Linked DNA regions of Saccharomyces cerevisiae S288C. The protein of the gene in region 1 purifies or fractionates together with the protein of each later gene. This does not show direct contact. Each region holds a gene or a part of one and is shown on either strand. Other genes may lie near its edges.

Region 1 (3,195 bases):
ACAAGAAAAATGATGGATCGTAAACACGCAATCCAACAAATCGGCGGTGATGGTGATGATGAATCATCTCCGGAGGTTTGAAACTTAGAATCTGACATTTTTTCCCGCTTATTTTTGCGATTTTTTTTTTTGGTAGGATCAGGCGAGGTTGAACATCTCCCACGTTTCTCATTTCTTGGCTATTAAGGAGCCAAGAAATGAGAAAAGGCGAAAAAAAAAAAAAAAAAAGAAAAAAAAAAGTGTAAGTATGCCACATCTAAGAAGGGTGGCTACCACAAGGGTGCAGAGATTGCAGCAGTCCTTGCTTTCTTCAATTTTACTACTTCTTGTTACTCCTAGTCCGTGTGCTTGCGCAGATGTAAGTTGTGTTGAAACAACAAGCAGATGTAGTGGTCCCTGACGCTGGTTCCATCGGAAGATCCGATTCATTGTTTCCTTCTCTCCCTTCCCCGCTGACTGAGCGGAAAAAAAGATAAAAAAAAGAAGAAAAACCGGTGCGGGGCAGCAGGCAACTAAGAAAAACCGGAAAAAGGGTTGGCGTCAGATCGCTAGCAACGAGATTCCTCTTTTTTTTTCGATTTTTTGTTATTAGAGGAAGACGGCGCGACTGAGTCAGGCCGTAATCGGAATGGAAAACCGGGCGGCTACCGATCTTTGTCAGTGAAGAATATAAGATATGATGATTTCGTATATGTATATGAGTGTGTACATGTGACAAAAAAGATTGGAAACTTTAGTACATCCGCAAATAATGGATGGCAGTTTCATACCCCCAGAAACTCACAAAAGTGGTGGGTATTGTCTTGGAAAGGGCCACCAGAATACCTCTGTAAAGCGAACTCACACCTTCTTGTTTCAAAATCTGTAAACCGATTCTTGCGAATCCGTACCCTTTATAAGAACCGTATACAGACGAATGACGGGAGAACTTTTCCAGATGCTTCGAATTCATGAACTGCATTCGCCTACGGATCGTTTCGAGGGGGAAAGTAATGATCTTAGCAATGACGCCGCCAATGGTACCAGCGCTGTGATTTAAAGTAGCCAGTTCCCATTTTTTATGCGCGGCGGTCGTTTTTTCGTTTTCGTCACAGTATATCCTGATTGTTTCGTATGTTCCGAACATTATAGATGCGGTTAGAGTTATGGTTGTCATTGACGCGATGGAGCCCTTGAAAAATCCGGGGAGACCTTCTAGTTTCCAGATATCACGCACTTCTCTCGTGATGCTCATTGAGTGCATCTGGTTGTTGGCAACTAGTCGGGTCCGTAAAACATCGAACGGGTAGGAAACGATGGAACTGGTTATGCCAGCAAAGGCTCCGACAACAAGACTATGTAAGCGCGCCTCTAGTCCAAATGGAGTTAAATATCTATTAAAAAGGGAGTATGAACTAAACTGCGCTGAGCCATAGGTAACGTACAGCAAAGAACCGGGTATGTTACCCTTCCAAAAGGACCGGATGCCTTCGTTCTTTATCATGCTTCTGGCCACCTCCATGACCTGACTTCCGAAGGGCTTCAGCCCATTTGCAGGGGTCAATTGCAATCTGATCTTAATGGTATCCATGGGAGCAGTTATGCTACGGGCAAGCAGCCCGGATACGGCGCCAGCCAACAAAGTTTTCCACGCGGCCACATTTTGCCCTTTTCTTAACGAGTCCTCCTCTTTGAACATATCAACATTTATGTACTTTGAATGGTTTATATAAAGCTCCAGACTATGCCAAGTTAAAGGTGACAAAATAGCGCCTTTTCTTCATAAAGACTATTATGTACCTCTCTTTTTCTTTTTACTACTTTTTTTTTCCTTTTAAGCGCATCGGATTGTGGAAAAAAGAGTGGAAAATTTGTTAGATGAACCAGTTAAGATGCATAAAATATCTCTGCATATATGGTAATAACAAGGAGCCCAATACCAAGAATAGATTAGATTCTGCTGAAAAAAAAAAAAAAATGAGCGTCCAAGCAGAAATAGGGATATTAGATCATGTAGATGGTTCATCTGAATTCGTATCACAAGACACCAAGGTTATTTGTTCTGTAACAGGCCCTATTGAACCAAAAGCAAGACAAGAACTGCCTACACAATTAGCATTAGAAATTATTGTACGTCCCGCGAAAGGGGTGGCCACAACAAGAGAGAAGGTACTCGAAGATAAATTACGGGCAGTTCTGACCCCACTCATCACTCGTCATTGTTACCCAAGACAGCTCTGCCAGATAACTTGTCAAATTCTGGAATCTGGTGAAGATGAAGCCGAATTCTCCCTGAGAGAGCTAAGTTGTTGTATAAATGCGGCATTTTTGGCTTTAGTTGATGCAGGAATTGCCTTAAATAGTATGTGCGCAAGCATCCCTATTGCAATAATCAAAGACACTAGTGATATCATTGTCGATCCCACTGCCGAGCAATTGAAGATTTCGCTCTCTGTCCACACTTTAGCTCTGGAGTTCGTCAATGGCGGTAAAGTCGTGAAAAACGTTTTATTGTTAGACAGCAATGGTGATTTTAATGAAGATCAATTGTTCAGTTTACTGGAGCTGGGTGAGCAAAAGTGTCAAGAACTTGTCACAAATATAAGAAGAATAATACAGGACAATATATCACCTCGTCTAGTTGTATAGCCATTATAGATTATAATATACCACAACATGCTATGTCGTATGCCGGAGACTACCTCTTATATTTGGAAATAGTTATTATTCAATGTTCTAAAATTCTTAACATTTTCGTTGTTACATATACATAGCATATATATATATATATATTACATTAATTTTTATCTACCTTCAATCTACAATTTCAAACGCTTCAAGTTTTCAATAGTAGCTTCCAAACCTTCGATTTCGGCAACAGTGTTATCCAGCTTGCTTTTATTGGCTTCCTTGGCCTGTGTATTAGCCTTTGTTTCGTAATCCTTACTGTTAATGGTTTGTTCAATACCGTTCTTGGATTTTTTAGCCTTTTCAAGTTTCTTTTGAACTTTCGCAATTTCAGCATCAATATCAACGTGTCCCTTGACGAGAAGATGTACATTGACTTCTGGGTTAACAGATTGCAATACGCAACCTTCTGGAATTTCGGAAGCATCACGAACAACAGTGACTTCGTCGATGGCCTTGATCAACGAGACAATAGAATCTTTCTGATCTTCAGCAGTTTTGAAGTATTCCTCGTGGTTAGATTCAACG
Region 2 (2,896 bases), on another chromosome or scaffold:
TGGCAAAATGGAAGGTGGTGACAACGAATCCTCGTCAACCTCCCCGGATGAAAGGCAAATTTTCGGTCCTTATGAAATTTATGCTCAAACTTTCGCTGGCTCCACTCACGATAAAAAATTAGGAGCTGGCAGGAAGACAAGTATTCAGGATGAAATGGTCGGATCGTTAGAACAATACAAGAATAATTGGTTAATTTTACAGCAACAAGACTAAGCGCACCTATTCCCTCTGTTATGTTGCTTATTATTTTCTTCCCTTCTGAAATGCATTTTTAGCTTTTTTCATCAATTTGGCATCATCGTGCATTTCAACTTCTAAGTATGAATGCTTTTTGGTAGTTAAGCTTGAAGGGTTTTATGAAAACTCTCTTTTCTTAGATATTTCTACAGTCTTATATAACGTCAATTCACACAAAAGTGTTCACTGCCAACTACAAGAATAGCATATACACATATTAGTTACTTCAACGAGTTCTTATTGTTATTATAAAAGTATATAAACCCTATAAGCATTTTTGCATTTGTGCTCTCACATCACCTTTAATCATTTTTTCACTCATGTACCAGTATACGTCGACCTCTACTTCTTCCCTCCTTTCTTTTTTCCAACTTTATCCAATCTTTTACTTTTCTTACTACTTGCTTTCCTTATATGATCGGTACTGTCAATAATCTTAGTCGTTGTACTCTCTGCCAGTTCATCGTTTTCAAATTTCGTATGCTTCCCTTGAAAGTTGCTCCTGCTTATAGAGGGCTCGAATTGGTTTTTATTACCGTCCAAAACATTGGAAATGATATTCTTAGCTTTTTCTTGCTCTGCCTGCGATTTTTCGTTGGATTTGGTTATCCTATTATCGTATTGTTTAGCCTTATCCATGTATGATTTTACTCTTTTCAGTTCGCCGAGTATAGGAGACATATCTTTGACGCCTAGGACTTTCATATTAGCAAACATCAGAGAACTCAATACATACGCGTAACGATTAATTAGTTCTAATTTAGCCCTCTCATCAGATAATAGCAACAGCTGTTCATCCAGTGACTTCGACGTTAGTTTCTCTATTTCTGGTTTCAGCTCGTCTAACGCCTTTGAAAAACTCCTAACGTATGGTTTTATCTTTTCGATATCTTCCATTACTGATCTAATACTCCGTTACGTTGCTAGATATATGTTTATATTAATCGATTTCTACTGTAGGCTGTTAACCAGTTTTTTCTTCCACAGACTACAGAAGGCACAGTCCATAACCATCTGCCTTAGCTCATCGCTGAAAAACTGCACGAGAATTCGTGAAACGTGACATGTTGGGTACCCGCATGAATAGAAAATATGCTAGTAACGACTCTTCTTTACATTCCCATTGCTGGTGTATGTACGCTGATATGAAAATGCTTGCCCAATAAATACCAAGGTTATGACGTTGCCGCTTTGTATTGTCTTCTAATCTAAAAATCTTTCCACGCCAGTAGTGGCTGGCTTTATGCGGCAAAGATCGCTGTTTCTCCTTTTAGAAGTAAATTTCCACGGAGTATGACGGCCGGACGGACCGGCGTAGTTCATTCTAGTCTTAGGGGTCCTTTACCTTGGCAAAAGCATTTCTAAGTGAAACCCTTGCAGGAGTAGAATTGGGCGCAAAGGTCCCTCGTTGGGATCTGTCCTCCTGGGGGACGGTAGGTGGTTGAATGATTCTGCCTTCTTGAAATACGAAATATCAATCTGTTTCTGCTGGCTCACGGTATCTACTGTAATTTCGTTGCTATTGCCATTGATATTAAATTATTGCTACTGTGTGTGGTTCTTACTCTCCATGGATAGTGTTGAAAATATACAGTAATGACTAGAGATTCAAAAAAGAAGCACCATTGGGGCACTGCCTTTTTAAGGACAATTGGAGTCAAACGTAAGCACAAGAAGGATCGTAATTTTTTAAATAATACTACAGGAGAGAATGTTAGCACAACAGCCAGTGCTGAGCGATTCAGAAGAGTAGGAGGAAATCCGGATATTCCGTCTTTACTTAAGCCCGAAACTTTCACGGAATCTCCTGCAAAAGGATCTCAAAAGGCGGCGGCATCTTCCTTAGCGCATAGCCAAGGTGTATTCAATATTCCAATCGTTATAGATCCCATGGAAACAAACAGGCTTGAAAAGACAAACACGAATTTGACGGCAGGTTCATTGAAGGGTCGCTTTCAGGATGGTAACTCGAATTCAAATTCTGTACCAAGTTTATCCGTCCAGGCATTAGAAAAGGAAAAACTGCAAAGTGGGAAACGAGAAGGGTCCAGCAATCAAGCTGAGGAAAAAACTCCAGACGGCCATGATGAACATACCGCCTTTGAAACGTTTCTTTCCTTCGCCCATAATGCCGTAAGCCACATTCCCAAAATAAACGTACAAGACGCTGACAATGGAACAATTTCCAGGAATGAACCAAAGGACAGGAAAAAAAACTCATCTAATATATCAGGAGCCCTTTCCGAAAATAGCACTAACAATAAAAACACTTCATCGACAAAAGAAAGCGATGGCCCATTTTTGAAAAATTTAGACAATATTCTTGCAGCATCCAAATCATCAACTCCAAGTAACCAACAGCTTAATACAACGGAAGCAGGAAGTAAAAGTAAACCATCATCATTATCTAGATTGGCATTTGGAAATTTGAAAGGCCATATTCACTCGAACTCACATTCAAGCTCTAATGCTATCTCAGGAGATGATACATCATTAGATGACACTAGAAAGATGACGGATGATATGGCCAGGAAAGTGGTTTTCGAACCCATCAGGCACTCTCATGATAAGCCTACCCCCGGAGTTGGAAACTTAAAATTAGAGCACTTCGATGATTCTCAAGCTACTCTTGAAGGGTTAGAGGCAATGTCAGCAGAA
Region 3 (7,581 bases), on another chromosome or scaffold:
CAAGGCTAAAAAAGGCAGAATGCCTAGACTGAAGAAAAGACTAAAAACTGAAGCGAAAATTACGGTTCACATTGCAGACATTTTACAAAGACACCGGTTCATCCTACGCATGTGTAGAGCTCTTATGATGTATGGTGCTCCGACGCATAGGCTTGAAGAATATATGGTTATGACTTCTAGAGTCCTTGAAATAGATGGTCAGTTTTGTATCTTCCAGGTTGTATGATTGTTTCATTTGGTGATGCAACAACAAGAACTTCCGAAGTTCAATTGGTTAGGTGTACTCAAGGTCTAAACCTTTGGAAGCTGCATCAAGTTCATGCCGTTTACAAAAGAGTTGTCCATGATACCTTAGGTGCCGATGAAGGTAATGCTTTACTCGATCAAATTTTGGCTGACACGAATCTATATCCACCTTGGATGTGTGTTCTTTTATATGCATTTTGTTCCGCTATGGTCACTCCGTATGCCTTTGGTGGCGATTGGGTAAACCTGGCAATCTCATTTTTTATGGGGCTTTGTGTGGGGTCATTACAATTTATTCTTTCACAAAAGTCATACATGTATTCAAACGTCTTCGAAATTTCTGCATCTATTGTCGTTAGCTTCTGCGGTAGAGCTTTTGGCTCTATCCCTCGTTCTCACATCTGCTTTGGTGCAGTTACACAAGGCTCATTGGCATTAATCCTGCCAGGTTATATTATTCTGTGTGGTGCACTAGAACTGCAAAGTCGAAGCCTAGTTGCTGGCGCGGTCCGTATGTTCTACGCCATTATTTATTCTTTGTTTTTGGGTTTTGGCATAACATTGGGCTCAGCTTTGTTTGGATGGATGTATCACAATGCCACTAACGAAATTTCATGTCCTCAATTAATTTCTCCGTGGTTCAGGTTCCTCTTCGTTCCAGCGTTTACCATTAGTATCTCGTTATTAAATCAAGCACACATCTCACAACTGCCAGTTATGGTCTTCATTTCTTGCACCGGTTATGTCGTAACATATTGGGCCGGTAAGCATTTTGCGAATTCGACAGAGTTTACTGCCGCCTTAGCTGCATTTGTCATAGGTGTTTTAGGTAATCTATATTCCAGAATTTGGAAAGGTTTAGCGGTATCAGCTATGCTTCCCGCAATCTTCGTTCAAGTGCCATCTGGTATTGCTTCACAAAATTCGTTGTTGTCTGGGTTGCAAAGTGCAAATACAATTGTTAATGCTAATGAAACCATTACGACAAGCACCTCCGATCCATCGTCCTCAATGTCATTTGGTATGACAATGATTCAAGTTTGTGTCGGTATTTCTGTGGGACTATTTGCTTCTTCACTCTTTGTCTACCCCTTTGGTAAAAAGAAAACTGGTCTTTTCAGTTTATAAGCTCTCACAAGGTCCACTTCGTTAGAAACTTGTTAACCAATGGACCAAGTGTTGCCATTGGGTCATTCTTCAGTATCAAAGAAGACTTTGACCCACTAAGAAAAATTTCAAAAGTAAATTATAAATATAGCATTAAGTACAAATAACATATCAGCTTATGAATCCTTTTTTTCAATTTTATGGTTTCATAGCCAATAATCATAACATACATAGATTAATAATATTCAAGTCACATGACTTTTTTTTTTTTCTTTTTTCTTTCTGCGTTAAGCAAAGAAAAAAATTTTCAGTTAGCGATGAGCTAGATATTTTCGAAGGTGTAACAAATACTTTCTTTATTACCTTTCAGAATCAGACTTATCTAACTGGCCACCAAAGTACGAATAACTTTGAAAATGTCTTCGTTGAGTGACCAATTAGCTCAAGTTGCTTCCAACAATGCTACTGTTGCGTTGGATAGAAAGAGAAGACAAAAACTTCATTCTGCTTCTTTGATTTATAACTCAAAGACGGCTGCAACACAAGATTACGATTTCATTTTTGAAAACGCTAGTAAGGCTCTTGAAGAATTGAGCCAAATTGAGCCAAAATTTGCCATTTTCTCAAGAACACTCTTTTCAGAGTCTTCCATTTCTCTTGATAGAAATGTCCAAACAAAAGAAGAAATTAAAGATTTGGATAATGCTATCAATGCTTACTTGCTATTGGCTTCTTCTAAATGGTATTTAGCACCTACACTACATGCAACAGAATGGTTGGTTCGTCGTTTTCAAATACATGTTAAAAACACAGAGATGCTGCTTTTGTCCACTCTCAACTACTACCAAACACCTGTCTTTAAGAGAATTCTCAGCATTATTAAGTTGCCCCCTTTGTTTAATTGTTTGTCGAATTTTGTTAGAAGTGAAAAGCCCCCAACGGCGCTAACCATGATAAAGCTCTTTAATGACATGGATTTTCTGAAACTTTATACCAGTTATTTGGATCAATGTATTAAGCATAATGCAACGTATACTAACCAGCTTTTATTTACAACATGCTGCTTTATTAACGTTGTTGCTTTCAATTCAAACAACGATGAAAAACTGAATCAGCTTGTTCCAATCTTACTTGAAATATCTGCTAAACTTTTAGCCTCTAAATCAAAGGATTGTCAAATAGCTGCACATACCATATTAGTTGTATTTGCTACAGCTTTGCCTTTAAAGAAAACAATTATCTTAGCTGCCATGGAAACCATTCTTTCAAACTTAGATGCTAAAGAGGCAAAACATTCAGCACTCCTCACGATTTGTAAGCTGTTCCAAACATTAAAAGGACAAGGTAACGTAGATCAGCTACCTTCCAAAATTTTCAAGTTATTTGATAGCAAGTTCGACACTGTGTCTATACTAACCTTCTTAGATAAGGAAGACAAACCAGTTTGTGATAAATTCATTACTTCCTATACAAGATCCATAGCAAGGTATGATCGGTCCAAATTGAACATTATTCTTAGCCTACTAAAAAAAATAAGACTAGAAAGATACGAAGTTAGGTTGATAATCACTGATTTGATTTACCTTTCCGAAATTTTAGAGGACAAGTCACAATTAGTAGAACTATTCGAATATTTTATCTCCATAAATGAAGATTTGGTGTTAAAATGTTTGAAATCATTGGGACTGACAGGCGAACTCTTCGAAATCAGGCTTACTACATCTTTGTTCACTAATGCCGATGTTAACACCGACATTGTAAAGCAGTTAAGCGACCCCGTGGAAACTACTAAAAAGGATACCGCTTCATTTCAAACATTCTTGGATAAGCATTCAGAATTGATAAACACAACGAATGTGTCCATGCTAACAGAAACTGGAGAAAGATACAAAAAGGTTTTATCTTTATTCACTGAAGCTATTGGTAAAGGCTATAAAGCAAGTTCCTTCTTGACTTCATTTTTCACTACTTTAGAATCAAGAATAACGTTTTTGTTAAGAGTAACTATATCTCCAGCCGCTCCAACCGCGCTAAAGCTAATATCTTTAAACAATATTGCAAAATATATTAATAGTATTGAAAAGGAAGTTAATATTTTTACTTTAGTTCCATGCTTGATTTGCGCTTTGCGAGATGCTTCTATAAAAGTTAGGACTGGCGTGAAGAAGATTCTTTCCTTGATTGCTAAAAGACCATCCACTAAGCACTACTTTTTGTCTGATAAACTTTACGGAGAGAACGTTACCATTCCTATGTTAAATCCCAAAGATAGTGAGGCATGGTTATCAGGATTTTTGAATGAGTACGTTACTGAGAATTATGACATATCCAGAATTTTAACGCCAAAGAGAAATGAAAAAGTCTTTTTGATGTTTTGGGCTAATCAAGCCCTACTAATACCTTCTCCGTATGCCAAGACAGTGTTGTTGGATAACCTGAACAAGAGTCCGACTTATGCATCTTCTTATTCCTCCCTATTTGAGGAATTTATTTCCCACTACTTAGAAAACAGATCTAGTTGGGAAAAGAGTTGTATTGCTAATAAAACAAACTTTGAGCATTTTGAGCGCTCTTTAGTTAATTTGGTATCACCAAAAGAAAAGCAGTCATTCATGATCGATTTTGTTCTCAGTGCTCTTAACTCAGATTATGAGCAGTTAGCTAACATAGCTGCCGAGAGGCTTATCAGCATATTCGCTTCATTAAATAATGCTCAAAAACTAAAAATCGTCCAAAATATCGTGGATTCTTCGAGTAACGTAGAATCATCGTACGATACAGTCGGTGTACTACAATCATTGCCGTTAGATTCCGATATTTTTGTATCCATACTAAATCAAAACAGTATCAGTAACGAAATGGATCAGACAGACTTTTCTAAAAGAAGAAGAAGACGTTCATCAACAAGTAAAAACGCATTTTTGAAAGAGGAGGTTTCGCAACTGGCGGAATTGCACCTGAGAAAGTTGACGATTATTTTGGAAGCACTTGATAAAGTCAGAAATGTTGGATCCGAAAAGCTTTTGTTCACTTTACTTTCCTTATTATCAGATCTGGAAACTTTGGATCAAGACGGTGGATTACCGGTTTTATATGCGCAAGAAACTTTGATTTCTTGTACGCTGAACACTATCACATACTTGAAGGAACATGGCTGTACAGAACTAACCAACGTAAGGGCAGATATATTGGTATCCGCTATTAGAAATTCTGCATCTCCGCAAGTCCAAAACAAACTATTACTTGTAATTGGATCTCTTGCTACTTTAAGTTCGGAAGTTATTTTGCATTCTGTAATGCCTATCTTTACTTTTATGGGAGCCCATAGTATTCGTCAAGATGATGAATTCACAACTAAAGTTGTTGAGCGTACGATACTAACTGTTGTCCCTGCCTTGATCAAGAATAGCAAAGGAAATGAAAAAGAGGAAATGGAGTTCCTTTTGTTGAGCTTCACAACCGCTTTGCAACATGTTCCAAGACATAGGAGGGTTAAATTATTTTCTACGTTAATCAAAACACTTGATCCAGTAAAGGCACTGGGCTCGTTCCTTTTCTTGATTGCACAACAGTATTCTTCAGCTTTAGTCAACTTTAAAATTGGCGAGGCAAGAATATTAATTGAGTTTATTAAGGCCCTACTCGTTGATCTACATGTCAATGAGGAATTATCAGGTTTGAATGACTTACTCGATATCATCAAATTGTTGACATCATCAAAGAGCTCCTCGGAAAAGAAGAAATCACTAGAATCCCGTGTCTTGTTTTCAAATGGTGTCTTGAATTTTTCGGAAAGTGAATTTTTGACATTTATGAACAATACCTTTGAGTTTATCAATAAAATAACCGAGGAAACAGATCAAGATTATTACGATGTGAGGAGAAATTTAAGACTAAAGGTATATTCTGTTTTGTTAGATGAAACAAGCGATAAAAAGTTAATTAGAAACATCAGGGAAGAATTTGGAACCCTTTTAGAAGGTGTTCTTTTTTTCATTAATTCTGTAGAATTAACCTTTTCATGTATAACTTCCCAAGAAAATGAGGAAGCTTCCGACTCTGAAACATCATTATCAGATCACACGACTGAAATAAAGGAGATTCTATTCAAGGTGCTTGGCAATGTGTTACAAATTCTACCAGTTGACGAGTTTGTTAATGCGGTATTACCCTTACTCAGTACATCCACTAATGAAGATATTAGATACCACCTAACGTTGGTAATAGGGTCCAAATTCGAGTTAGAAGGCTCTGAAGCTATTCCTATAGTTAACAATGTGATGAAGGTTTTGCTCGACAGAATGCCTTTGGAATCTAAATCTGTTGTTATTTCTCAAGTAATATTGAACACGATGACGGCTTTAGTGAGCAAATATGGTAAGAAGCTTGAGGGGTCCATATTAACTCAAGCCCTCACCCTTGCTACTGAAAAAGTTAGTTCTGATATGACAGAGGTCAAGATATCTTCGTTGGCATTGATAACTAACTGTGTTCAAGTTTTAGGAGTCAAGTCAATTGCGTTCTATCCAAAAATAGTCCCACCTTCTATTAAATTATTTGATGCTTCATTGGCAGATAGTAGTAACCCATTAAAAGAGCAGTTGCAAGTTGCTATACTGTTGCTGTTCGCCGGTCTAATCAAAAGGATACCAAGTTTCTTGATGTCAAATATTTTGGATGTTTTGCATGTTATTTATTTTTCCCGTGAAGTTGACAGCAGCATTAGGCTGTCAGTAATTTCATTGATAATTGAGAATATAGATTTGAAGGAAGTTTTGAAAGTTTTATTCAGAATTTGGTCCACTGAAATAGCAACGTCCAATGATACAGTTGCTGTTAGTCTATTTTTGAGTACATTAGAATCCACTGTTGAAAATATTGATAAAAAATCCGCAACCTCACAATCGCCAATATTTTTTAAGTTACTATTATCTTTATTCGAATTTAGATCCATTTCCAGTTTCGATAATAATACAATTAGTAGGATAGAGGCATCCGTTCACGAAATTTCCAACTCTTACGTCCTGAAGATGAATGACAAAGTATTTAGACCGCTATTTGTTATATTAGTAAGATGGGCGTTTGACGGTGAAGGCGTTACAAATGCAGGTATCACTGAAACAGAAAGACTGTTGGCATTTTTCAAATTTTTCAACAAGCTTCAAGAAAATTTGAGAGGTATAATTACTTCCTATTTCACGTATTTGTTAGAACCTGTTGATATGTTGTTAAAAAGATTCATTAGCAAGGACATGGAAAACGTTAATTTAAGACGTTTGGTAATCAACTCTCTAACCTCTTCGCTAAAGTTTGATAGAGACGAATACTGGAAATCAACTTCCAGATTCGAGTTAATTTCTGTATCCTTGGTCAATCAACTATCTAATATAGAAAACTCTATTGGGAAGTACCTGGTCAAGGCAATTGGCGCTCTGGCTTCTAACAATAGTGGCGTTGATGAGCATAACCAAATTTTGAATAAACTAATCGTTGAACACATGAAAGCTTCCTGTTCCTCCAATGAAAAATTATGGGCTATTAGAGCCATGAAGTTGATATACTCAAAGATAGGTGAAAGTTGGTTAGTTCTATTGCCACAGCTCGTTCCCGTCATCGCTGAGTTATTGGAAGATGATGATGAAGAGATCGAACGTGAAGTCAGGACCGGTTTGGTCAAGGTTGTTGAAAACGTTTTAGGGGAACCTTTTGATAGGTATTTAGATTAGAAAAAAAAGGTGAAGTATTATGTAAATTTTTGTAAAGTAAAACACTATGCTGTTGAACGAAATCTTTCATTGAAAATATTGTTATTCATTCGTGATAGCTGCCCCTTTCTGAGTTTGAACTTAATATTTCAATTACGCTACTTCAAGTTTCAATGAGATATTATTCTGTCATCTTTCTCGTCGTTCCTAGTGATTAACGTTACTAAAATTACTGATCCTAAATAGCGGGCGAACAGAGTGAAAATTTTCTTATCTTCGCTTATCTGCGCTTATCAATCCTAATCAGTGAAAAATAAGATATAGGCTTGATAATAAGGTAGTTTGAAAGAGAACATATTGCAAGCGGTTGAAGCTATAATACTAGATATACGAATATCATTTCGGGTATTTGTACTGTGCTCTACAATTCTACTGGTAATATTATGGCATCGCAGGCTACAACTCTTCGAGGCTATAACATTAGAAAACGAGATAATGTATTTGAACCAAAATCAAGTGAAAA

The links.
Region 2: the proteins of RRP46 (region 1) and LRP1 purify together in Saccharomyces cerevisiae (affinity purification with mass spectrometry; 6 studies listed by BioGRID, with this or other methods). This does not show direct contact.
Region 3: the proteins of RRP46 (region 1) and UTP10 purify together in Saccharomyces cerevisiae (affinity purification with mass spectrometry; 2 studies listed by BioGRID). This does not show direct contact.

What each region holds. Positions count from the first base shown.
Region 1 is NC_001139.9:675,104-678,298, reverse strand, and holds RRP46 (exosome non-catalytic core subunit RRP46), read left to right. Parts: upstream 1-1,956; coding exon 1,957-2,628; downstream 2,629-3,195. Other genes in the region: thiamine transporter TPC1, read right to left, coding at 734-1,678; VAS1 (valine--tRNA ligase), read right to left, coding at 2,799-3,195. UniProt on the Saccharomyces cerevisiae protein: Non-catalytic component of the RNA exosome complex which has 3'->5' exoribonuclease activity and participates in a multitude of cellular RNA processing and degradation events.
Region 2 is NC_001140.6:265,777-268,672, reverse strand, and holds LRP1 (Lrp1p), read right to left. Parts: upstream 1,136-2,896; coding exon 581-1,135; downstream 1-580. Other genes in the region: putative serine/threonine protein kinase KSP1, read left to right, coding at 1-214; LAM4 (Lam4p), read left to right, coding at 1,835-2,896. UniProt on the Saccharomyces cerevisiae protein: Required for exosome-dependent processing of pre-rRNA and small nucleolar RNA (snRNA) precursors. Involved in processing of 35S pre-rRNA at the A0, A1 and A2 sites. Required for activity of RRP6 in 7S pre-rRNA processing.
Region 3 is NC_001142.9:211,498-219,078, reverse strand, and holds UTP10 (snoRNA-binding rRNA-processing protein UTP10), read left to right. Parts: upstream 1-1,769; coding exon 1,770-7,079; downstream 7,080-7,581. Other genes in the region: YJL107C (uncharacterized protein), read left to right, coding at 1-226; pheromone-regulated protein PRM10, read left to right, coding at 223-1,374; GZF3 (Gzf3p), read left to right, coding at 7,502-7,581. UniProt on the Saccharomyces cerevisiae protein: Involved in nucleolar processing of pre-18S ribosomal RNA. Required for optimal pre-ribosomal RNA transcription by RNA polymerase I together with a subset of U3 proteins required for transcription (t-UTPs). Involved in ribosome biosynthesis.